Linked DNA regions of Cricetulus griseus. The protein of the gene in region 4 interacts with the protein of the main gene of each other region in a pairwise test. Links are inferred from orthologs where the notes say so. Each region holds a gene or a part of one and is shown on either strand. Other genes may lie near its edges.

Region 1 (3,500 bases), about 49 Mb from region 4:
CGACTATGTTCACGTTGAAGGGTCATCCTTTTGCAGTGAAAGTGATTTTGACCATTTCTCCTTCACGTCTTCTGAAAGCTTCTACGGATCCAGCCATCACCATCATCACCACCACCACCACCATCACCGGCACCTCATCAGTTCCTGCAAAGGCCCATGTCCAGCTTCTTACACTCGGTTTACCACCATGTTAAAACATGAAAGAGCTAAGCATGAAAACATTGACCAACCCAGAAGGCAAGAAATGGACCCCGGCCTATCTAAACTTGCATTTCTAGTCAGCCCCGTGCCTTTCCGAAGGAAAAAGAATGTGACTCCCAAAAATCAGCCTGAACAGGCCAAATGCAAAGCCTCTGTAGTTGAGGCTCTGGACTCCGCCCTCAAAGACATCTGTGACCAAATAAAGGCCGAGAAAAGAAGGGGGAGCCTACCAGACAACAGTATACTGCATAGACTTATCAGCGAACTGTTGCCGGAGATCCCTGAGAGGAATTCATCCCTTAATGCTCTGAGAAGGAGCCCAGTGCATCAGCCTTTCCACCCACTGCCTCAAGATGGTGCTATTCATTGTCCACTCTACCAAAGTGATTGTGGGAGGATGCCTCACAGTGCCTCCTTCCCAGACGTGGACACAGCCAACAGCAGCTACCATGCACAGGACTATGGTAGTGCACTGAGTCTCCAAGGTGGATGAAGTTTTCTTTCTTTTTTCCCTTGTGGTTCAGCTGCCATCCTCCCAACTCATTCTTTTTTTTTTTTTTCATCCTGCATCTCTCATCGCTCTTAAGCTGTGAGACCACTTGATGTCATTATGTGTTACAAAGAAAACCTGTGCTGTGCAGATGTGTCTGACTCGGTAGCTCTCTTTTGCCTGTGTGATATTTGACGTTCATGTGTTGACTGAAAGTAATCATCAACTTCCTAAGCATTTGCTCACTTCAAAATAAAAGCAAGCCACATTTGTCACTTAATATTAGGGTTATAACAAGTAGGACTTTGAGAAGACAGATGAGATGAAAAGTCCCCATGTCATTAGTGACTGTGTATATTTGCACTGATGCTACGAAACACGCTTCACAAACAGTAGATTACAATGTTTTTTAAAAAGACAGTTCTGGACATTTTCAGATTAAGATATGTCAGAATCCAACTTTCTAACAAAATAGCCATTTTCCTCAGTTATCTTATACCCTGAAATAATCACCACTCAGATTCAAAATAATATATCAAGACAAAACTATAATTCAATATCCGCATCTCTAAGATATCATTTTGATTCATTATGAATCAGTCAGTAGTTTCACTACTTGGCCCTTGATTTCTATATTCATGCTAGAACATCGTACCTGTTCACTCAAAGAAATCTGTCCCCACTCAGCATATATGCTGAGTGTGTGTATGTCTATATATATAGAGAGAGAGGGGGGAGCTTTAGCCACATGCATCCCCTAATTGAAACCCCCATAAGTCAATGAATGGGTATTAGTGTAAGTGCTGTTTTACAATGGAGGAATTGATAGACAAAGAGGATATAATTCCTCAGTCTTACACAGATTACAATAATGTCAAGAGAATTCAAGGCCCTATTAACTCAAAATGTATAATATAAAATATAATTTCTAGGGGCAAAAGGAAACAAAACTTAATAACTAGTGGATAATTTTACTTATTAACATTTACCTTCACTTTAATTTCTACTGTGCAACATGCTGAAAAACAATAAGTTAGAGTAAGGGCTGAGAGATTGCTCAATTTTAGGACCCCTTGTTCCTTCCTCTTCCAGAGGATCCAGGTTCCATTCCCAGTGGGCACATGGCAACTCACAACTGTCTATAACTTCAATCCCACAGAATCTAATGCCCTTTTCTGGCCTTCAAGGGCACTGAACATACATGGTGCACAGAGAACAAGCAGATAAAACCCCAAAATCCCACACACACAAAAATATATATAATAAAAATGATATATTAAGAAATAGAATAATAGCATAATAGTAAAATAATTTAATTTGTTTTATAAATAGACTTATAAATTTTAAATTCAATAAGTCATTTAAAATTTCTAATCAGTTTCTATTTAGACTAAAAGAAGTTTCATCCAATTTTTTAACTACCTTCTTCAATTTTCTGGTCCTCTATATAAGCATAGTACATCATCAAAACATGAATTTGAAACACTGAAAAATTTATACCATACATAAATAAAATTTATCTTAATGATTTGTATTATTTAACATATTTAAATTTGTTAAAGTGAATAAATAATTTTTAAACTTAGACCCAGGTACACAGATAAAATTCCCTGATGCCACCAGAATACAGGCAAACTTTAGTTACATTCCTACATGCAAGTCATACAACTATGGAAGTTTTAAGAAACTGAGAGGGATATTTGCAGTCATAATTTTCAAATGTAATTATTTAACTTTGCTTTAATGTAAACAAGACCTCAATATACCATAAGCAATTTGGCAACTTCATCTGAGGCTTTTCTGGTTGACATTTTGTTTTCTGTAATAATTTGCTCTCTGATTACTTGAACATTTGTGTACAAGGGAAAGCCATAAAGGATATAAAATCATAAGACCCAATAATGAGTATTTACAAACAGAAAAGACACACACACACACAGAGCATGGGAGAATATGACCATAGTCCTGTCATGCTCACAGTTTATCTTTCATTTCATCATTACTTCTTAAATTGTATTTGATATAACATTTTCTTCCTACAAATGTGTAGCTTTTAAATTCTTTATATATCTTATGATAATAATTTTATATTGAAACCAAAAAGGAATAGAAATTTTAAGCATGATAAATTTAGAGTATGAAAATCCCTGCAACTGTGAATTATCTACACCAAGGATTGCAGTGTAAATAATTGGCAATATAATAATATTTTCTATAGATTATAATATTTCTGTTGTGTATTTCTTCATTTTCAATGTGTATGTGTGTCTTATATCATACTTTACAGTTAATTATGAGTTTTCCATCCATGTTCTCACTAGTGACACCTCACCAAATTTGGGGATAAAGTAATTGCCAGCAGGGAAAAGTGGCTAAACAGTCTCTTTTCAATGAAATCAAATCTTATTCTGATTCACCTTATTATTTCCAACAGACCATGAGTCACCTAGAAGTCACTCATCTACTCTGACTGACTTTGGAAGAAGTGCATCTCGGGAACGAAGGGGAACTCCAGAAAAAGAGGTAGTTAAACAGTTTTTAAAAGAAACTGAGAAAGCACTTACCAGTCAAATGTGTACCTCAAACAAGGAAAGAATTCAGACTGATGCCTGACAGCAACAAGAAGAATCTAGAAGCAGTTCTGCTTAGTGCCTGTGTCTAGAATGTGAGCTCCAGTCACTCCCAACTTGGGATGCACTTAAGGCAATGAGGCCTTTCTGAGTTTGGGCCTGGTAGTCATGAACTAATAGAGTTCTAATTAGCCTGCTTTGTGGAGGGAGGGGAGTTTCTACACAAGTACTTTTGCTGG
Region 2 (2,250 bases), on a different chromosome or scaffold from region 4:
CAGTCTATCCCCTCTGCCTGGATTGTTTGGGCCCAGGGCAGTTGTTTCTGGGCCAGGGGAGGTGAGGCACAGAGACGCATGAGGTGTTTGAGCAGCTCATCGGCTGCTGCTTATGAAGCATGTGTGCAGGGGGAGCCAGCTGTCATGGTCTGGGAACCCGCAGTGTAGAACAAGGCCCTGTGGCATCCATGGGCCAGACAGACCCAGCAACACAGCCAAAGCCTAAAGAGAGATTGAAGCCCCCAATATCCAGGAGACTGAGGCAAGAGGATTGTCACAAGATCCAGGCCATCTGGGCTATAGCAGAAAAATCCAGAAAAATGGTCAGTTATTGGAACTGCTCCATCAGGGGAGCTGCCTTCAGATCTGGTGGGGTTCATAGGACTTGGGGTGCTGAGTCTGAGCTGAGGTCCCTGTACTCTGAGGGTACCTATCCCCAAGTAGTGATGCAAGTGCCAAGCTGTGTCTCACCACCAGACTGTGGCTTGAGATCAGGGAGTCATTGCAAGGCTGAGGAGAGCGAGGTTCTGGGTGGATACAAAGACTGGGTGCCCCTCTCCCATAGGTGCTGGCTCAGCAAGGTGAATACAGTGAGGCCATTCCCATCCTGAGGGCTGCCCTGAAGCTGGAACCTTCCAACAAGGTAAGTGGAAAGGACTCTGGTGGGCTTGTCTAGTAAGTCCCCCAGTTGTCTATTTCTACTTATTACTGCCATTCTAGCTTTTGGCTTGCCTAGGGGTGGGGCAGCAGCTCCCACTTTGTAAGAGTGGATTGGAGTAGGTAGAACCTCCACTTTCCAGGGGCCCCCACACCTGACAAACCTGCGTACCAGAAGAGGGGAGCAGTAGTGATGACAGGCAGGCCTGCCGCCTCCTGCACTGTGCACCCACTGCCACCCTCCTCCCACAGACGATCCATGCGGAGCTCTCCAAGCTGGTAAAGAAACGAGCCGCACAGCGAAGCACAGAGACCGCCCTGTACCGAAAGATGCTGGGCAACCCCAGCCGGCTGCCCGCCAAATGTCCTGGCAAGGGGACCTGGGTGAGCTGGGGTGTGGCTGGGCTGGGGGCAATGCTGGGGATACAGACTTCAGCCCAGGCTGAAGGAGGGACTCTGGAGCTGCAGGGCTCATGGTGAGGGTTGGAGGTTCATGCAGAGGAAAGAAATACATTGAAGGAGTGGGTGTTTGGATTGGGTTGGGGTGTATGTAGGAGTGTCTTAGAAATGCTAAAAACCCTGCTAGAAGGTCTGTGTGGACCATGGTAGTTGCTTCAGCTATGCAGCCAGCCTTACCCTTCCTTTATCCACAGTCCATCCCATGGAAGTGGCTGTTTGGGGCGACTGCTGTGGCTCTGGGGGGCGTGGCTCTCTCTGTGGTCATTGCTGCCAGGAACTGACTGCCCCCTGCACACCTGGATCCTGACCTGTGCTCCCCAACTCCCCCAGGCTCCCTGTCCACTGCCCTCCCTGGCTGAGCTGCCTCCTCTGGGTTGGGGAGTCAACGATTGAGGGTCATACACCTCCAACAAGCAGGAAGGACTGAGGCCCTGAAGGGGGGCATGGGGTGCAGCCCAGAGGGAGGGGCCCTGTTCCTCTAGACCCAATTGTCTCTGTCCCATTTCTTCCCTCTGGGGTCAGGCCTCAGTTTTTCCCTCTCAGTAGGCCTGGGGGCAGCCCTTACTACTAGTCCTGCCCATTTGCCCCCTGTCCAGGCTCCCCTACAGCGAATGAAATAAAGCCTCACCCCGCACCCCAATGTTTCCCGAGCCTCCTTCTGCTGAGGCTGGACCAGAGAAGGCCTGTGAGTCAACAGTTGAGCCAGGCCCAGCACAACAGCTACCTTAAGGAGGGCTGTGGACCCAGGCCACGCATAGCTGCACTCCAGAAGACTTCTGCCCACTCCCACTTTGCGTTACAATTTTGTGCTGATTTTCTACCTGCAGTAGGGTCCTTTTGGGGTTGTGCAGTTTCTGGGGTCACTTACTTGGTGAGTGTCACTGGTCTGGCATATATGAGATGTTGGGTTCTACAAGGAAGAGGTGGAGCACCTTGGCAGTCGTGGTCTTGGGGTGGGGTGGGGGTGGGCAGATGTTGGGTTTTGATCCAGGTGTGTGTGGGGGGGTTATGGTCACCTAAGCAGGGTTGCTGTGTCTGGGGATTAGGAAGGCTGGCCCAGGGAGGTGTCCTGCTTGACAACAGGGACTCTGAATTCTGCTGATGGAAGAGGGGGCAGGGGAGCTTGGCCCTGCA
Region 3 (3,500 bases), on a different chromosome or scaffold from region 4:
TGCCACAACTGAGAGGGCTTCTTGGAGGCCAATCCCCTTTCCATGGGCCACAGTGAATCTATCCCTGGGTTGACCAGATCTTTTGTGTCCTTGCTGCAGAGTGACGGTAACTTCAGATGGCACCTTGATTATCAGAAACATCAGCCGATCAGATGAAGGCAAATATACCTGCTTTGCTGAGAATTTCATGGGCAAAGCTAACAGTACTGGGATCCTGTCTGTGCGCGGTAAGGACTGTGCTCTGCTCAGACCTGTGGTCAGCTGCCGGGGTGCTGTTCTGACAGCCATCTGCTACTGGTCCCATATACTTCTGCTTCCAAGGCTACCTCAGAACTCCCTTTCTCTTGGGACCAACCCTGGCCAGCTTCCAGAATCTGGCTGCTCATGAATTTTCTTCTTGGGGTACAGGACAGAGGCTCTCCCTGCCTGGGACTTTTCCATCCTTTACATCAAAGAGCTTTGTTTTTGTTGTTGCTATTTTGCTTTGTAGATGCAACCAAGATCACTCTAGCCCCTTCAAGTGCTGACATCAATGTGGGTGATAACCTGACACTACAGTGCCATGCCTCCCATGACCCCACTATGGATCTCACATTCACCTGGACCCTGGATGACTTTCCCATTAACTTCGATAAGCCTGGAGGTCACTACCGGAGGGCCAGTGTGGTAAGGCCAGGGGTCTTGTAACTCTCCCTTTTTTCAGATAAGACAGGGGACCTGATGTGTCCTCAGCCATCACCATCTTCAAGCCCTCCAAAGTTCTCCCTAACCCCTGAGGCAGTGCCCAGCAAGCCCATCCTAGGACTGACAGCCACCTTTTCTGAATCCACCCAATGCCTGTTCTTCTAAGTTAGAATCAAGCGTTAGCATTCTAAGTGCCCCAGGAGGGTCTCTCTGCTACTCTCGCTCTTCCCCAATACAAATGCCCATGCAGACTGTCTTATGTGACACACTTTGTTGTTCAGTGATACCAAGTAGTGATTCTTCCCATTGAACAGACAGGAAAACAGAGGACATAGATGCCAGGCAGCCAGAGAATTCAGGTTCTGTTTATTCTAGTCAGGGCCTCCCCCTGACTCATCACACCTTGCTGTTCCCTGTGCGCAGAAGGAAACTATTGGGGACCTGACTATCCTGAATGCCCAGCTACGCCATGGAGGGAAGTACATGTGCATGGCCCAGACAGTGGTGGATGGAGCATCCAAGGAGGCCACAGTCCTGGTCCGAGGTGATGGGAGTCGGCTACCCCAGTTCCCTGAGAGGCTCTAGGCTGTTTGACCCTCCCCACCTCCCTTCACTCCCTGAAAGCTGAAAGAAGTCACAGAGATGGACACGTCTATTTACTTCCTCTGTGGTTCTTCGTGGGTCCTAAATGAGTAGAATGTTTCTTCGGAAGCTGTACTCGAGAAAGAAAATGTTCCCTAAATGTCCCAAGACTCTGCTAAGCCCGAGAGTTCCAAATTCGGTGCTGGGAAATCTATGCATCCCCTTATGGACAGCATCTGTGAGCCTGCAAGTCTGAGACACAAAACTTCCCACCATGCTCCTCTGTCCCTGTGCTCTGGCTTTCCACCCAATCTTTCCTGCCCTGTGATGCCCCATCTAGATATTGAGCCAGTCCAAGCTGGGTCTGGAGAAAACGGGCTCAAACTGGGAGCTGTCTACTTCTGACCCAGTGTACTCTGCTTCTTGGTACAGGTCCTCCAGGTCCCCCTGGGGGTGTGGTGGTGAGAGACATTGGAGACACCACTGTCCAGGTTAGCTGGAGTCGTGGCTTTGACAATCACAGCCCTATTGCCAAGTACACGCTGCAAGCTCGAACTCCACCTTCCGGGAAGTGGAAGCAGGTTCGGACCAGTAAGTGTGAGGCCCCACGTGGATCAGTACTGATAAATCTCCCACTGTGTGCACAGCAGGAGACAGGGATCAGAGAGTCAAAGGCTGAGCATGGGGCTTGAAAGAGAATTAAATTGTGTTCTCTATCTCCAGGGAGCACCTAGGCAGGCAGGGACACAATTATAGCCAGCAGGAAGGTAAGGAGAGGACTAGAGGAGGCACTTGGTCTGTACCTTTGAAGCCTTCAAAGGATTGTTGCTGGAGATTGCCAGCATGCTCAACATGTGTGGAGTGAGGAGCACACAGCATTGGCAAAGGCCCTGAGGCATCGGAGCTTAGTAGCTTTTCAATCAAGAGTAATTGAAGGCTTAACATATGGTAGCACCACAATGAGGGCAGAATACAAAGGTCTCACAAGCCCAGTACCTGCCCTCATCCTGGCAATAAATGGATGCTAGCCATTGACCCCCTTGGACCTTGCAGATCCTGTGAACATCGAGGGCAATGCTGAGACTGCCCAGGTGCTGGGTCTCATGCCTTGGATGGACTATGAGTTTCGGGTTTCAGCCAGCAACATCTTGGGCACTGGGGAGCCCAGCGGGCCCTCTAGCCGAATCCGGACCAAGGAAGCAGGTGAGTGTCTGGGGTTCTAAAGGACATTTCTCAGCAGAGGGTGCCCTAGTGGGAGCTGGAACAAAGTTCCAATTGGCTTCCCAGTCCTGGGCTCTGATGTGGAAGTCAAGAGGCAAGGCTGCTGCGTGGGCAAACTGCCTGATCCAAAGCCCTTGCTGAAAGACACTCGGGCAGGCAGATCTGTGGTCATTGTCTCAGCTTAGAGTTTAAACAGGAAAGCTGGTTTGAACAAGGGAAAAAAGTCATGCTGGGGGAGCCTGATCTCGAATCTAGGACAAGAATCTTGAGCTGTTTTTAAATGTATACAAACCGCAGAAATCAGCTAACAAGGAAGGAGTCTGTGAGCATATACACTTGTGTGTATACCCATGTGCTATGTGGGGGGCTAGAGAAGCAGCCAGACTCCAGGCCCTTTTTATCTGGTATCTGTGGAATGGAAGGGATAATAATCTGTCTGTGACCCTCAGTGAAAGTGCATGTGTGTCATAGCCCAAACAGGCAAGTGTGTGAGAAGAGAACCAGGAAGGGAGACAGACATGGGCTTAATCTGCCCAGAGTCACCAGCTACATTCTGACTATTCCCAAGGGAGGACCTGGGATCATGTGACAGCATCATGGTCGGCCCTGTCTCCCTCCTTCCATTTGGCCAGACCTGTGCTTATGTATGGTGGAGGGTCCACCTCCATGTATCCCTTAAACATGCTCTCCTACCTGCTCCAGGCTGACTCCCCAGGCTCTGGAATCACTCAACATTTTTATCAGGCATCTGTCTAGAGTAGGAAATTCCAGAGGGCATGCTCTCTGACTGAACTTCTTGGGAATATGGGGTGAGAGGGGTCTGTCTCTTTGATTCTAGCAGCTCAAAAACTGATGGGCATACAAGCACAATGCAAAGAGACAGTGGTGATCTTTAAAATCATAAAAGTGGAGATCACAGTCTAGCTGAGTTGTACGTTAGCTGTGTGAACTTGGACAAGTTGCTTAACTGCTCTGGACCTCAGGCTTTCTGTCTTGGAATGCGCTCCTCAGAG
Region 4 (4,214 bases):
CAAGTCAGAAAGAGCCAAGATGTGGAGCTCTACCTGGAAAATAGAGATGACAGCAGTATGATAGAAACAAGAGGAGACAGAAGTATAGGGTCAAACTTAGCAAAAGAAGACAGGCACATCAAGGTTGCAGTGACAACCAAGAGAAGAGACAAGGAGGCACAGGGAGGTGGGAGAGCCAACAATAGGTAACTGATAATTGGCCGGGGGCAGGATTCACTAGTCTCCTCCTTCTAACTGAATAGAGAAAGGCAATGAGTAGAAAGTCAAATCTTTTGTTTTTATTTCAACATTTGGGAAATGCTCAGTTGTGGCAGTAGTCCTATATTAAATAACTGGGACCAATAAAACTATAACCTTGCTTTAATTAGAAAATAGGGGTAGTTCAGTTAGAGCATGCACACACAGACACACATATAGACAACAACAGCAAAGTAGGAACTCAATAGCTGAGGCATGCTTTGTCTGTAGTAATACAGTTGATTTTTGTCAACACAGAGGGAACACATTAACAAATATGTGTACTACATTTTGGACGTGAGGGCACTGAGATACAGAGAAAAACACAGGTGAAGGAATATCTGCAAAGTCGTTTGACTGACGGGTGATGGAGTTGGGGCTGGAACACAGACAGCCTGGCTCCAGGATCTAGACTCACACCCGCTGGCTTCCTCACATGTATGAGGCAAGATAGGCAGAACAAGGCATGCCGAAAGTACCAAACAGGCCATTTCATGCAATGTGTGTACAGGAGAGATGAATGCTAGCAAAAATTCAGAAACATGCGTGGGTGCTCAGAGCAGTTAAAGTGGTGGGTGGGAATTCTGGAGGCAGTTTATGGGATGGTGAACCAGGGAGCTGAGGAAGGAAGTGTCTGGCTGGCTGTGTGGCCACATCCTAGCTCAACACACCAATAGGGTCCCATTCTCTCTACTTTTTCTTCCACCGCATCCCCTTCCCAGTCCAAATGGCTTCCCCATCAGAACTGCAGGGCACACAGGGATGAAAGAACCAGGCATGGGGTACAGGAAGAGTTATCTTAATGCCATGCCTTTATCTGTAAAATGACAGAGTACAACACCTGCTTTTATGGAAGGCTGTGGCATTAAGTGGAGTTACTGACTTGAGAAACAGTCCAGGAAATGGAGGAAGAATTGTTGTTTCTCATCATTTCAGCCACCCTTTCCATTTTCCTCTTCAACTCCAAAATCTTCCTTCCTCTTCCCAACTTACACCTGAGTTTCCATGTAACAATATTAACCTTGAAACCTATTCCTCAAACAGGACAGATTTTAAATACATTAGATCCCTTTCCCATGAGTGGTTTTGGGGTCCAACTGCTGTTGGTCCACTTTGGGAGAAACATCAAGTGACCAAATTCACAAGCATTTGGTGAAGCACACTAATTGTTCTGTTATTTTTCATTGCTGTTGTTAATGTTTTGCTATACCTAATCAATGAACTGAATGATGAGAGCCATATAGATTCAGGAAAGGCATGGCATGTATGGTTTTGGACACCTAATGTTTCAGACATCCAGTTTTGCCTAGGAATGCTTCCCTGCAATATGAGGGAGTGACTGCATGTCCTTTCTGCCTCTGGCCCAAGTTTATTTCCTATTAACACAAACTCTCACTCACCGAGGTTGACCGGAGAACTTGGTCATTTATTTCCATCTCTGGATGTTATTCCTCATCCATGGAAGAACTGGTTTCTACCTGGCTGAAATCTCTTTCCATCTCATTACCTATCATCTTTGTAACTGCCACCCACTGAATCCTGCAAACAGCACTCAGTACATGTGTTTCACAAACATGTCTTCTCTGAGTTAGGATTAACTGAAATGACAGATTTGCCACATGCCATCAGAATCCCTCTTGGCCTTGATGTCCCACCTCTTACCCTGTAGGTTCCGCATGGGCAGTTCTCTAAGCCCGGTTCTGTTTGTCCCATAGTTGGACAGGACAGCTAAGGCATAGGTGTTTTCATACAGAGTGTTCCCCCTGATGATCTGCAGGTTCTCCAGAGGGATCTTCTCCACAGTGTTGAGGGCAATGAGCACATAGCCAGCAACCTCCTGGATGGTCTGAGAGGGAAAACAAAGCCTATTAAAGTGGGCCCAGGAGCCCCATTTAACTTCACAATGACACATTCATGTGGCAGATAAATCTAAGACACATAGACAATCACATGTGGGTAAAGGTTGTGGCAGGATTTGCAATGATTTCTTTCACGTTTCATTTGAAGGTTACATTAAAGAACAGCTGATTGATATGTTGTGATTCCCACTTTAACTCAAATAAATGGAAGTGAAAATAACTATTTTGAATTCATCTCTCATGATTTCTTGTGGAAGGAAGAAGTGAGGGAGAAGGGGAAGAAAAAATGAAAAAGAAATAAAGGCAAAGTAAACCCAGCTGAAGTCCAAGTGTTTGCATAGCAGATTTTGAAGCCTTCAGAGTTGGCTCCTAATGGCTCACTAGGAATATTTAGGACTGTGGAACATCAGAAGGGTTTCTCTCCCATTTTCCCCCACAAGCAACTTGACTTTAGCTGGAAGAGTGGACTTCTCATAACACTCTCCTATAGTCCCTTGGATTTGTGGCTTCCATAAGATGAAGTATCCATGCCTCAAGTCAGATTCTACTGAGTGTTCATATTTCATTTGATAGTGTTTGAATAGGACAACCACATTAAACGAACTAACCTTTAAGAAGGAAAGGTCATAACCCCTTTGCACGTAGGTAATTTCCAAGTTCCCAAGGACCACTTCACAGTTGTTGAACATCCTCTGCAGGCTCAGAAAGTGGTCTTCAAAAGTGCCGAGTTGAGTGAGCCTGTTACTTGTGCCTTGGCAAACTAGAATAAAAGGGAAAGAGGTCTGTCAGAAGATGCCGAGTAAGGTAGCAAACCACAACAAAACAATACTCATCAGCTTTCTGAGCCACAGTGACTAACAATCATCTTTGATCAAAGCCACCACAATGCTGATGTGGTAAGAGATGTTTAAGTTTACACAGCTGTAATTCATCGTGAGACAGAACTCATCCCTGTGATGCAGGCAATCATGTGATATTAAGGACACAGAGAAAACAAAGCATTAAAAGTGGAAGGCGGGGGAGATGTAAATTGTATAGAGGATTGTATTAGTTACTTATTTTGTTTCTGTGGCAAATCACCAGACAAAATCCACTTAGTGAGGGAAGGGTTTATTTCAGCTTACAGTTCTAGGGAAGACAGTCAACTATGGCAGAAAAGGAATGGCAACCAAAATGTGGAACATCTGGTCACATTGCATTCACAGTCAGGAAGAAGAGAGAGGTAAGTACCTCTCAGCTCTCTTTCTCCATTTTAATTAGTTTGAGGACCCCAACCATGGAATGGTTCTGGCCACCTTTAGGGTAGAAATTCCCAAATCAATTAACCTCATCTAGAAAACTGTTCACAGATATGCCCAGATGTCTATTTCTATAGTGATTCTAAATCTTGTCATGTTGACAATCAAGTTTAACTGCAGAAGTCTCTAAAATAGAAAGATAGCAATTAAATTTCTGTGGATGACACAATTGCAAAATGAGTTAATAACAATGCAATGAACATTTTACTTCACAAAAATATGTGTGCTACATTGTTGTGTACACAAAGGGTCTCCAAAACCACAAGACACAATCGGCAATGTTTTCTAACCCCAATTCTATATACCTAAAAATCAATGAAAACAATGGAATTTTAAAAGTCAGCTGTTAGAAATTAAAAATACTCCTCAGAATCATTCAAGGACAAATCAAAGTTCTGATTATAGAATACCCAGAATTCTTTTTTAAACTGAAAAATAACGCTTTAAAGCCATAGGCTAGTAAGAACCCAACATGTCCTTCTGTCTTTTTTCACATTGTGTTATTCCAACTAACACAGGTATCCATGTTTGTCTTGCATCCCCGCCAATATACAGCCTGTCAAGACACAGACTTAATCCGAGAAAACATGCGAAATTAGGGGCCAAAGTTATACCACAGAAATGCACTCAGTAGTCTGCATTTAGAAGCAGAGGAAAGGATAGTAATAAAATGGTATTCACAACTTGGCTTTTGGGGAGACATGTTTAGGCAAGCAAAACAAAACAAAGAGGCTTGGAGCTTTTGAAGCAGGGAGCTTGTTAAAGGATATACTTTGAACCAAAATTATCCTAAGAGTGAAGAAATATGGCCTCTGGGTTT
Region 5 (3,500 bases), on a different chromosome or scaffold from region 4:
ATCAGTGCCAGACTATGGAAACTTGAGGCAGAAGGATTACAAGTTCCAGGCTTGCCTGGGGGGCAGAGCAAGACCCTATCTGAAGGAAAGAGTGAGAAAGGACAGGCCAGAGACTAGTGTGTCTCACCCGTGGGCCATGTGCAGCAAGACTAATGGTCTAGCTCCTGCTGTCTGTGGTGACAGCCAGTGACTAGGTGTGACCACTAAGCACTTCCAAAGTGCTAGCCAAGAACTGGTTCTTGACTGGCCTACTGATAACAAAAGTTCAAATAGTCACATGTCCCTAAGACCCTCTCATCAAATCCCTGGGTTGTACCCTACTACTCACTGTGATGCTGTGACCAGGTACTTGGCTTGCTTGCCTCAGCTCCAAATGTGAAACAGAATGGACCCACAGTGTGCTACATGAAGTATGCAAGGTTCCCAGGACCATGGAATGACATGTGCCTAATGCTTCTGGACAGACCTCCAATGTTGTGAGCCAAAGGCCCTCAGAAGAACACCCCACAATATCTTGCTGGTCTTACCTTGTCCATTCGATCCTTCTGTACCCCATACTTCCCGCCAAATCCTTTGGCATAGTCTGAAAGGTAGTAAAGGCAAGAATTCTGTGAGGATGAGACTGGGCGAGCAATGGCAGGCACATGCACAGGGATCCACAAAACAGCCCGGGGGCACGAACCAGAGCAGAGGGAGGTGAAAGCTGCCCGAGGATGGGCTCTCCTGGCAAAGCCAGCTGTCTAACCACAGTGCCCAGTGCAGGCAGGGAGCAGGTGAGGTGTGGGCATGCTTCCAGGAATAGGGAGAGGGAGGGGATGGGCAGCAGGCCGGTGGGAAGGAAGCCAAGGAGGAAGGTCACAGGACAGGCCTTTGCAGTGCACACTTCTATAGCACAGTCTTCACACCAGCCAGGGACTTATTCTCATCTGCTTCCTGGGCGCCTGCTCTACTGGGCACTAAATAGAGGCCCCACCGTAGTTTGTTCTCTTGCTTTTTAAAAGAAAAAAAAAACAAAAACAAAAACAAAACTCCGTGTCGAAATGCCACCAGACAAGTATGTCTGTTGCTGCCACACACACAAACACATGAAAGTGATAGTCATGCAGCCTCGACATTACAGGAACCAACGGCCACCTCCACGCAGTCTTCTAGGCCAGTACTAAGTACATCCACCCCAGGCCTGATGGCATCTGGGAGTCTACACTCCACCCTGATTCAGGGAGTCACATGCCTCTGCCTGGACACTTGGGTTCTAGGAACCAGGTCTAATCTCTTGAGGAGAAAAAAAAAAAAAAAAAAAAAAAAAAAAAAACTGCAATAGCTACTGAGATTACCAGGGCATGCCTTGACCTGCCTGTATCAGCCATGCGCACAGTGTGCACATACAGTGTGGCTCTGGGTGGAGATGCTACACACAGATGGTGTGGTTAAAAACAAAACAAACAAACAAAAAACTCCAAACACACCTTGTACACCTGGCCAAAAAAAAAACAACAACAACAACAAAAAAAAAACTCACTACAAAGACACAGAGACTACACGAAACATGCCTGTCTTTCTCCATGACCCCAGTGTCTAGTTAACATCAGGTCTGGGAGAGCAAAACCCACTTCCCTGTGGGTCAGAGGCAATGAGGAGGGGCTCAGAGATTCAGCACTGGTGGTCAGCAGCAAGGAGGCCAGATGTGTCCCTTGCAGAAACTGCACTGCCCTGGCCTGCAGAGTGCCTCCTAACTTGAACTCTAAAGGTCAGAGGGGAAATGGAGGAAAGGGGCAGAGCTCCAGGATGTTGCTTTAGCATTAAACTAGGTGGGGACATCCCTGGCGGCTGGAGGCACAGGGAGCTAACACAGGCACTGTGGTGAACCCTGAAGTCTATGCTGCAAGTGGGCTGCACTGCAAGGGCTGCTGGAAGGAGGAAGGGGCAACTGTGCCTTGCTGGGACTCGTGCTTGGCCAATCTCTCCTTGTAATCAAACCCCACAGCGGAGGAGTCCTGCCTCTCGGACTGAACACCAAATTTGCCTCCGAACCCAGTCTTATAGTCTGGAGATCCACGCGAGACAGTGGGGAGCATGACCGAAAGAGGAAACAGCCAGATTAGAGTCACATGAACATGTGCAATGATCAAATATATCATGTTCGGACAGAAAGAGCGCTGATCCGGGCCTGAGGGTCTAACACTGACCACAGGATTAAGGGACAAACTTCCAAGTCAGTATACTTCAGCTGAAAGCAGGTTCGGAACTGGATGGTAAATAGTTTAGTTAAAGCTACTCCATGCTTTGAGGTTTGCCTGCAGGGTCCTTCCCAGGCTGCCCACAGGAAAGGGACAACAGAGGGGCTACTAGCCCCACTCCCTGTGCTGAAGGGACAGCTGGGGACAACTACAAGTGTTTTACTCTATTCAAACCAGCTTTTCCGGGGACAAAGTTCCCACTGTGACAAGAAAACTCTCCCAGTTACAAAGGAAGTGTGACTTGAGGGGAGGCTCAGAGGTAGAGAGAATCTGCCCAGCATAGACCAGGCTGTGGGTTCTATCCCCAGCACTGAAGAAAGAAGTGTGCCCTCCACAAACCATAGCCCACCTCAAAAGGGAAAACCCTGGGAACCCAGAGGGCCAAAGGCCCTTATGAGTGCTACAGGAACCAGGCTCCCAGTTGCTACAGCACTGGCATAGGGGGTGGGGACAGGACAGGATCACCCTATCCCCTTACCACCTATGCAGACCTCTGGAATCAGAGGAGACACAACTTCACACCATGAAAATGAAATTCAGACAGAAACACAGCGGACATGAGGCACGTGGCCGACTGAGGAATGAACACAAGCTTCTCAAAGGCCCTTGAGGAAGGCTGGGGGTGGGGCAGGGGAGTACCTTTTTGGGACTCATGCAGCTGCAGCTTCTCCTGATGGTCCCAGCCAAGGGCACACTTGTCTTGTCTGTCTGTCTGCACACCAAATTTTCCTCCAAACCCTTTCACATAGTCTACATGCACAACAGAAAGCCATAACCTGGCATTACTGCGCAGCCCAGAACAGGGGGAGGAAGCAGGCTTCAGATGCAAGGAGGCACGTTTCACTGGACCCGAGCTTCCCCCAGGAAACAGCTGGGATGAGACCCATCAGAGGCCCTCCCTCAAGATAATGGTGTCTTAGGAGTGTGGTTAAATAGGCTAAGCCAATGCATGCGGCCCTTGAGGCAGCAAGGTCTCATCACTCACAGGCAGACATGAGTGACTGGGGCATTGACACAAACAACACTAGGGCTTAGAGTCAAGGATGAGGCCAATGCCCGAGTTCTTATGTATCCACAGGCTGCGAGCAGCTGTCTTAGGTTGACCATTTGTAAAACTGCAGGTGACAACAGTTTTTCTCTTCTATCCTGGCCACACCTGTCACCCTGCGAGGGGCTGGCTAGATTAAGCACAAGTGGCAGGTACCTTTCTGGGATTCATGCTTCTCTGTTTTGCCTTGATACTCAAAGCCCACAGCGCTCTTG
Region 6 (3,978 bases), on a different chromosome or scaffold from region 4:
GTTCCTGGACAGCCAGGGTTGTATAGTAAGGTCCCATAGCACAAAAAGGAAAAAAAAAAAAAAAAGGAAGAGGAAAACCCAAATACTTTGCTCTTCTGATTTTTGTTCTAGCATCTCCTGACTATTTCATCCATGACTTCCCATTTTCCCACAGGTCCAAATCATGTCCATCCTTCAAAACCTCTTCCTAGTCTATTCATGACTTTTTCCTTCTTACAGGCAGGAAGGGGGAAGGGGTTACTGCTGCCCTCTGGGCCATGCTTAGTACAATAATCCCACAAAGTAAAGCTATGTGGATCTCTCCCTGAAAACTGTTAACCTTTTCCCTAAGTTTTACTATTTCAATAAACACTATATGAATAGCACCTGCATATAAATCAATACACCTTGAAGAGCTGCTCAAGCTTATCTTTAACAGTGAGCATGTAAAACTAAGAAAGCCCCAAATCACCTGCCTCCTCCATTCAGAAACAACTCTGGAGCTGGAGTGATGGCTTAGTGGTTAAGAGCACCCGCTACTGTTCTAGAGCACCCGGGTTCAATCACTAGCACCCACATGGCAGCTCACCCACCACCCTCTAGTTTCAAGAGGAGACCAGAAATACATGCAACAAACACCCACACATAAAAATTTTAACTGGTTTTTAAAAATTAAAAAAGGAAAGGGGAGGGGCTGGAGAGATGGCTCAGAGGTTAAAAGCACAGGCTGCTCTTCCAGAGGTCCCGAGTTCAATTCCCAGCAACCACATGGTGGCTCACAACCATCCAGTATGGGATCTGGTGCCCTCTTCTGGTGTGCAGATATACATGGAAGCAGAATGTTGTATACATAATAAACAAATAAAATCTTTAAAAAAAGAAAAGAGAAAGAATGAAGAAGGGAAAGGGAAAACAAAGAAGTCCAAATGCAGAATTCAGACACAACTCACCCAATAGCTATAAATCCCCAGAACCATCTTTTTGTATGCTACCATCTATCATCACTTCCTTTAAAACTCCCTTTCTTGTGACCAGTTTACACTTCCTATCCTTCCCTTTCCCCAAACTATGTGGTGTGGGGCACTGTTTATCCTTTACCTTGCATACATGTATTGTCAGTGAAACTAACTTGCTACTTCTCATCCAGTTTACACTAGTCAGTTCTTTCGATAAAAGTCACATCTACATCACCAGTCTCGTGAGGGTATTAGGATATCATCTGCTTCTTTTCCCTCTTCTCTAGTCTGTCCTCCTCTAGTGCTCTCAAAAATGGTCAACAACACCACAGAAGAACAAAAGAATCCACTTGGCTTCTAGAAAAAAATTAATACTCATTTTTTTTTCTCCTTTTTTGCTGCTGGGGCTTGAACCTGGGCCTCAGTCATACTGTGTGCACTGTCCCTGGTTTACAGAGCTCTATACTTAATTTTTCCCACTGTACCCTTTCTTATACTCTATTTCTGCTTGTTAATTACATTACTAGAACAGTAGCTAATGTATATAATAAAGACAAATTAACAGAGTATGTGCTCAAAAATGTATTTATTAAGAGTTTAGAGTCACTGGACCAACAAGATGGCTCAGTAAGTAAAGGCACTTGCCTCCAAGCCTGGTGGTGAGTTCAATACCTGAAACCCACATGGTGGAAGGAGAGAGTGATTCCCGGAGTTGTCTTCTGAGCCCTGCATACATGCACCCGCACACATATACTCACACACAAAATAAATGTAATTTTAAATAGTTTAGAGACAGCTCTTCTAAAAAACTATTTAAGACAGGGTAAGTTCCAGACTGCCTGGAGCACCTACCTATGCGTATATGTACACACAACTGCGACTCAAAAGAAAAACTCATTCATATCCTCATGGAAGCCCTAACCATACCCACCCATCTACAGCCCCAACCAGCCATCTCAGAATCCTGTGTCCTACTCAAGATACACAAAACAGGGTGGTTTGGTAAAGCCCTTCATTTTTAGTTTAGGGAAAAGACTCTGTTGAAAGTAGAGAGATGCTAAAAAGGGCTCACAGTTCACCATTCTGACACTGCTCACTGCCCGATTAATAAAACACATACCGAATATGCCACGATCGCTTAAGATGCAGTACCTATTTCCCAATTCCTCAGGGCACAACTCGTTCCCGTCGTTAACAACCGGTTTATCCTCCCACCTCCTTAACCTGTGCTCATACCTGCCTTCATCCTTCCCTCCCTAGGGATAGATACCACCCCTTGTTCCACAGTCCCCCCGTCCTGTCCCAGGACAGCAGCCAGTCTAGCCTGGGTCCCTAAGACCCCCTCCTCGCTCTCTGCCGCGGCCCCCAGACGCTGCCAGCCAGGCTGGAGCGCGGAGCCGGGCGGGGGGAGGGGTGTGCCTCGCCTCCCGTGACTGGCCCAGATGGCAGCAGATTCCGCCCCCACTCGCGGGCACCCCTCCAGCCCTCGCCCCCCGAGGGCTGCCCGTCCGCCTCGCACCTCGCCCCGACCCCACCCCACCTCCGGCCTCCCTCACGCCCTTCGCCGGCTCCGGACACACTCACCGTGCTGGGTGAAGACATTGAAGCCGGTGTCCGCGGTACGCCCCGCCGGGTCCCGCCTGCGGCCCGAGGGCCTGGCTGCGCTGCTGCCCCGGATCCCACGCGGCTGCGGCTGCTGGAGCCCGGGAGCCTCCCCGACGCGGCCCACCTGCTGCCCCATCCCGCCGCTCGCGTACTCCCGCGCCCCCGCCGACCCCTGCTCACATTCCTCCTCTGCTCCGGCCTCGGAGCTCCTGGCGCCGCTCCGGCCTCTCCGGCCCAAGCCCAGGCCCCGCGGGCCCGAGTCGCCGGCGGCTCCGCACGCGGACTCCTTAACAGCCGCCGCCGCGCTGCCTCCCAGCGACTCACAGACTCGCCTTCTCCCTCCCCCTCCGGCGGCTCCGCGCCCCAGCCGCCGCCGCCATCTTTAAACCACCGAGCACAGGACGAGCGTGGGACAGAGCGTCTCCCGCCCCCCTCTTGCCCAGGCACCTCCGCTACTCGGAGGGCGGAGCTCCAGGTGGCCCCGCCCCGCGCCGCGCCCCGCTGGGTGGAGGCAAGGGCCCACTGATCCACCGAAGCTTTGGGGGCCGTGGGGGGGGGGGGCTCGGATGCTTCACCGCGCCCGGCCTGCGGGTCCGAACCTGCCGGTGCAAACGTCCATCCACGTTGGGCTCCACATCACCCCTCTTGAGGAAGTGTGGGCCTCCCAATCTTTCCTGTCCCACCTCCACCTGTCAAGTCAGAAGAGGCTGAGAACTCACCACCGGTTCAGCTCAGCAGCCAACAGCTGAGGCTGTGAATCCCTGTGCTTCGCTGCCATTCAATTGAAGAGCCCTTGACACACACTTAGCAGCAGGCCTAGAGTGCAGTGTGAGATGGTACAAAATTCCTGGGGTAAAGTGCAGGGTTAACTTAATTTTAATTTGGGGAATTATTTCTTGATGTTAAATTCCATTCGCCTAGGTTGTGTGGGCTTTGAGGTGTTATTGGCAAAGCAGTTGTAACCAAATTTCTCTTACTACCGTGGATGGCTCCTGAACTCTTCTCCCGTCTACCTAACCGCACGTGTTTCAGTTTGCTTTAAAACGCTTGACAGTAAAACTAACAATCTCCCCTACGGACAGGTTTTCCTCACTGTGCACGAGATCAGGCCCTTCTTTGTTGACAAGGAAAAAAAATATCACTTTGACCTTGTTTCTGAGTCAGAACTTACTCATCTTTAGCTTCTGTTGTCTAAATAGTGTCACAGGAAGAAGAGAAGTGACTTTTATTGACATAAACCCTGTGTGCAATTGTCTCACCATCCTACCCCATTGTGTGTTCTTAATGTTGAACCAGTTGTAGGGGTTTTTTTGCTTTTTTTTTTTAAGACTCAGTGATGCTTATTTCCTGCTATTCCCTTGACTTCCTTGTTAGTTTGTTTAAAAGGCTCAGTTACTGGACATACCACTTGAAATTTTGCTTTTGAATGAGGACTGGA
Region 7 (4,237 bases), on a different chromosome or scaffold from region 4:
CACATTTCAAGGCCCTGGGCTCATTCCACTTTGGAATAACAGTTGTTTACCTGCACACAATCTTGACAACCTCTAATAACAATGCTGAATGCTTCTAAATACAATGGGATGTTACACACAAACAAATAGGAATGGTCTAGCAATTGTGCTATCATATGGGAAAATTTCAATATAATACCAAGTGGAAAAGCCAAGTGTTTCATTTATACATAATCCTAAGACATACCAACTATAGTGACAAAAGGGAGGTCAACAGCTTCCTCGACATAGGAGGATGTAGAGAATAGCAGGTAGAATAACAAAGAGTATACAGAAATTTGGTGGGGGATTAATGGACTGGCTCATTTTCTTTTTCAGAGCAGTGGGTTACTGAGTGTTTTACAACTGTATGATTTAGATATGTGCGCTGTATTTAAATGTGTATGTTTTTAAATATGTCAACTGTTTCTCAATAAAACTGTTAAATATAACTAAATAAATATAACATTAAAAAATATAAGAACAATGGCCTGCATTGTTCACCACATCATTCCCAAGCTTTGTATGGTTTGCGTCTTTAAAAAAATACTCTAGATGAAGCCATTTATGTTCCTGTGAACCTGCTGTGGTGATATGTTATTTATGATTTATTAAAGCTTGCCTGAGGAGTCAGAAAGCAAAGTCAGCCACAAGCCATAGAAGCCAGGCACACTTCTTTAATCCCAGAAGCCAGAAGCTAGGAAGTGGAGGTACATACCTTTAGTCATAGGACTAAGATTAAGAGGTAAACAGATCTCTGTGAGTCCAAGACGACCCAGATCTACACAAGAAGTATCCAGTCCTAAAGAGAGAAACAGCTCACATAAAGATGATCCCAGCACCTGGGATCACACACCTTTAATCCCAGCATTAGGAAGGTATATAAGACAGGAACTAGGTCTCAGTGTCAGGTATTCATTCTCCAGCCACATTGAGAATAGGAATGCCTCAGCCTTGTTAGAGGTAAGAGCACTTTGGTAGCTTGACTGCTTTGCTTCCCTGATCTTCAGGTTGAACCCCAATATCTGTCTCTGGGTCCATTTATTTTTCATGTTACAACCTGTAATTGAAACACTCAGAAGCTGAAGCAGAAAGATGGTGAGCTCAAGGCCAACCTGGACAACAATGCCAAGCTATCATAAAACATACCAATATGTGACTGTTTTAGTGATGGGGTTGATAAAACACTCATTCCCAGTACTTTTTGGAGAAATGACACAATTCTATTGATTCTTATCTGCGCTTGGCTTCCAGTTCAGAAGTTATCTAAACCCTGGTGACAGTGTGACACTTAGACTTTCCAGTATGCAGTCATTCATATTAGCTCTCATATTCTCCAATATGCTTCTACTCAGGTTCTGTAGCCAAATCCATTGCTGACTTGCTGGTCCAGGTGCCCAGCAACCCCCTACCATTACCATGGCCGAAGACGCAGATATGCGCAATGAGCTGGAAGAGATGCAGAGGAGGGCTGACCAGCTGGCTGATGAGGTAAGGCATAGAGAGGCAGGGGGCAAGCCCAACACTGGAAGGTGGGTGGTTTCAATTCAGATTTTGAGAAAAGAATTCTTCAATGTCTAATTTTTTTTTTAAGGTGAAAAAAGAACTTCCTTTTTCTCTAAGATTCCTGCAGGCTAGACAGGATTGATTATAAGGCGCAAATACAAATTAACATCTCAGCCCTGAGGCAGGACTCCTAGACACTTGGGAGGGCAGGGTCCTCTAGGAAAAACTTTATCTTTAGATACCTAACAGTATGCCATGGTTACCTCAGTAATGAAGGTTACTAAGTGTGGCTATTACTAAAATTGAAGTACATAATTTGAAAATAAATATATATAATTAAAGCAATGGTATTATGAGCTCAAAAGTCATTACTTGTAGCTAGTTTAGCACATTTTTTCTGCTATCTATGCCCTTGAGTCATTTACACTCACTGTATGTAAGAAATGGAAACTGCAGAGTCAGTTTACCACACTGCACTCAGAAACCAAATCAAAAGCAATTATTGAGAACCAGTCATTGGCAAACAATATCAGTTGTGCTTGCTTTATTGTTTGTTGATTACCTATAGTTAAGACAGAAGGGAAAATATTAATAATCTAGATAAAACTTTTTAATTATGTATGTCTGTAGCTATTACATTAAGAAAATAATATACAGAGTTGGGTGGGGAGGGAGGGTTGGATCAGGGAGGAGCTAGGGGTAAGAGTGGAAGAGGTGAATATGATCAAAATTCATTGTAAGGCATTCTCAAACAGTAAAAATGTTTTTGAAATATAAGAAATTTTGAGGAAGTCCTCCATTATTTGGAAACTTATTTTTCAACAAAAACATCACCTTCTTTACTAATGAGACTAATTCTAACATTAAGTCGTCACTGCTTCAGGTTCTTCTTATTCATGAACATGAGTGAAGTTATCCAGTTGCAGTGACCATGTTAGAATTATACTAGTTCATCATATGAGGAGTCATAGATAGACAACACACACACACACACACACACAAAAAAAAAAAAAACTGACAGGAGTTTTGGGTGAGAATCAACCTGCTACACAGAACTGCTAACCAAGGATGCTGTGTTGCATCATGTGTCAACTCTGTGCTCTCTGTGTTTCACAGCCTTACAATAGATGCAAAGATACATAAATGTATTTATATTTTTTCCCAGAGTCAGAGCATTTTGCCAACACATCACTGATAATAGCTATTTTATTACAAAAGGGAGTCCACTTTAAGTCCATTGCAGCAAAAATTCACATCCTTCAGGCTCCTGCAGAAACTTGTCCAACATAAATTTGCTATTTGAAAGCATGGTTTTGAGAAATCACACTGGTTGTTGCAGTGGAGCTATGTTAAAGGAACTGAGAACAAAGTGGTGATGCTGTGCCTGAGGGACCAGCTGCCAAGCTCAAAGCTTTCTTCATGCTTTTTTTCTTATCTAAAAATGAAGGTAATTACAGCTGTCTCCTATGGGATAGTTATTGCAAACTTGCTTGATTTTTTTTCACCCTAAGGCGACAGCTTAATTTGTATTGATAACAACTTCCAGTTGTGTTTCAAGGAGTTTTAAAGGAAACTCGTTAAACTCATCTCTCCTCATGAAAACTTATGTTTGTGTTTAAAATTCAATATCCCTAGTTCAGGGAGGCCAAAGTAGTCCTTGAAGTATATGAGATAGTTTTCCAGGCATCCAGAGCATACAAAATGATTTGTCCAGATTGCTTTGCCTTTGATATCAAGATCAGCCTCATATGGTTTTGGTTTTATAAAGATAAGCTTTCATATGATTGCTCTGGGAAATCTGATCATGTAGAAAGAGATTGAAACTGGGAAGACATTTGGTGTTTCTGTTGCAAAGTGTAAGTCATGTGTGATAGGGACCTTTGTGTTTCTCATGTGAAGAAAGCATTTCTGACTTGCCTAGTGCTCTGTTAGTGCCTTTAACAGTGTTTATGTTTTTCCATCTTAGTCCCTGGAAAGCACCCGTCGCATGCTGCAGCTGGTTGAAGAGGTAAGGAGTGGATTCTATTAACATAAACTAGGTCCCTATGTTGACATGTTCATTCCTAGCTCCTATTGTTTTTCCCTAAACCATGGCTCCCTGGCTTCCAATATGAACATAGCGTATCAGAAAATACTGGAGATTTTGGCATGAGTTGTTAGCTAGTTATCAAGGTGACCTCACCACCCTCCAGCCTAGGCTACCTCTGCAGTGCATAGTACAGAGAAACCTACTATTTCTAAGCTCCTGTTCCCAACAGTCACAAAAGTGGGTCCCAGTAAGCAAAGTGGTGCTTAATCTATGAAGGAATTACCTACATAAAAGTCTTCATTTGTAATGATTTTGTTGCAATATATTACAGCTAATCTAAAATTCTTTTCTGACTCCAACTATATTTATAACTTTGAAAAATATGTATTTATGCAAGCATATCATCTTTTGAAATTGTTGTATTTAGTGTCCAGCACGAAAATCTAAGAAAAAATAGCAAAAATCTTAAACAAAGAGAAAAATCTAGTCCAATTAAGTAAATATAAAAGTTCTTTTATGTGACTGACTCTGAATTGCACATCCATTTCTAAAGCATTTGTAATTCATGGTTTAATGAATCCCAAACCATTTTTAAATGGATAAAATAGGGCAGATAGCAATAATGGAATCAAAAAAGCATTTGCAATAAAACCTACTCATTCCAATTTGGTAGAACAGCAGTCA

The links.
Region 1: the proteins of Egfr (region 4) and Sorbs2 interact in a protein complementation assay, tested with the Homo sapiens proteins (2 studies listed by BioGRID and IntAct). The link is inferred for Cricetulus griseus from reciprocal best matches to the Homo sapiens genes EGFR and SORBS2.
Region 2: the proteins of Egfr (region 4) and Fkbp8 interact in binary tests that used the Homo sapiens proteins (3 or more experiments, as listed by UniProt). The link is inferred for Cricetulus griseus from reciprocal best matches to the Homo sapiens genes EGFR and FKBP8.
Region 3: the proteins of Egfr (region 4) and Cntn2 interact in a protein complementation assay, tested with the Homo sapiens proteins (2 studies listed by BioGRID and IntAct). The link is inferred for Cricetulus griseus from reciprocal best matches to the Homo sapiens genes EGFR and CNTN2.
Region 5: the proteins of Egfr (region 4) and Cttn interact in binary tests that used the Homo sapiens proteins (3 or more experiments, as listed by UniProt). The link is inferred for Cricetulus griseus from reciprocal best matches to the Homo sapiens genes EGFR and CTTN.
Region 6: the proteins of Egfr (region 4) and Abl2 interact in binary tests that used the Homo sapiens proteins (3 or more experiments, as listed by UniProt). The link is inferred for Cricetulus griseus from reciprocal best matches to the Homo sapiens genes EGFR and ABL2.
Region 7: the proteins of Egfr (region 4) and Snap25 interact in a protein complementation assay, tested with the Homo sapiens proteins (2 studies listed by IntAct). The link is inferred for Cricetulus griseus from reciprocal best matches to the Homo sapiens genes EGFR and SNAP25.

The regions. Positions count from the first base shown.
Region 1 is NW_023276807.1:40,741,506-40,745,005, reverse strand, and holds part of Sorbs2 (sorbin and SH3 domain-containing protein 2), read left to right. Parts: coding exon 1-686; intron 687-3,125; coding exon 3,126-3,214; coding exon of another isoform or gene 3,215-3,217; intron 3,218-3,500. UniProt on the Homo sapiens protein: Adapter protein that plays a role in the assembling of signaling complexes, being a link between ABL kinases and actin cytoskeleton. Can form complex with ABL1 and CBL, thus promoting ubiquitination and degradation of ABL1.
Region 2 is NW_023276806.1:248,450,300-248,452,549, reverse strand, and holds the end of Fkbp8 (peptidyl-prolyl cis-trans isomerase FKBP8), read left to right. Parts: intron 1-565; coding exon 566-643; intron 644-909; coding exon 910-1,041; intron 1,042-1,310; coding exon 1,311-1,397; 3' UTR 1,398-1,750; downstream 1,751-2,250. UniProt on the Homo sapiens protein: Constitutively inactive PPiase, which becomes active when bound to calmodulin and calcium. Seems to act as a chaperone for BCL2, targets it to the mitochondria and modulates its phosphorylation state.
Region 3 is NC_048598.1:56,645,874-56,649,373, forward strand, and holds part of Cntn2 (contactin-2), read left to right. Parts: intron 1-99; coding exon 100-227; intron 228-490; coding exon 491-666; intron 667-1,107; coding exon 1,108-1,228; intron 1,229-1,698; coding exon 1,699-1,857; intron 1,858-2,319; coding exon 2,320-2,469; intron 2,470-3,500. UniProt on the Homo sapiens protein: In conjunction with another transmembrane protein, CNTNAP2, contributes to the organization of axonal domains at nodes of Ranvier by maintaining voltage-gated potassium channels at the juxtaparanodal region. May be involved in cell adhesion.
Region 4 is NW_023276807.1:89,407,801-89,412,014, forward strand, and holds the start of Egfr (epidermal growth factor receptor), read right to left. Parts: upstream 2,801-4,214; 5' UTR 2,786-2,800; coding exon 2,705-2,785; intron 2,084-2,704; coding exon 1,900-2,083; intron 1-1,899. UniProt on the Homo sapiens protein: Receptor tyrosine kinase binding ligands of the EGF family and activating several signaling cascades to convert extracellular cues into appropriate cellular responses.
Region 5 is NC_048596.1:56,912,094-56,915,593, reverse strand, and holds part of Cttn (src substrate cortactin), read right to left. Parts: coding exon 3,442-3,500; intron 2,988-3,441; coding exon 2,877-2,987; intron 2,045-2,876; coding exon 1,934-2,044; intron 584-1,933; coding exon 528-583; intron 1-527.
Region 6 is NC_048598.1:35,301,439-35,305,416, forward strand, and holds the start of Abl2 (tyrosine-protein kinase ABL2), read right to left. Parts: upstream 2,801-3,978; 5' UTR 2,677-2,800; coding exon 2,520-2,676; intron 1-2,519. UniProt on the Homo sapiens protein: Non-receptor tyrosine-protein kinase that plays an ABL1-overlapping role in key processes linked to cell growth and survival such as cytoskeleton remodeling in response to extracellular stimuli, cell motility and adhesion and receptor endocytosis.
Region 7 is NC_048599.1:41,904,731-41,908,967, reverse strand, and holds the start of Snap25 (synaptosomal-associated protein 25), read left to right. Parts: upstream 1-1,437; coding exon 1,438-1,509; intron 1,510-3,490; coding exon 3,491-3,532; intron 3,533-4,237.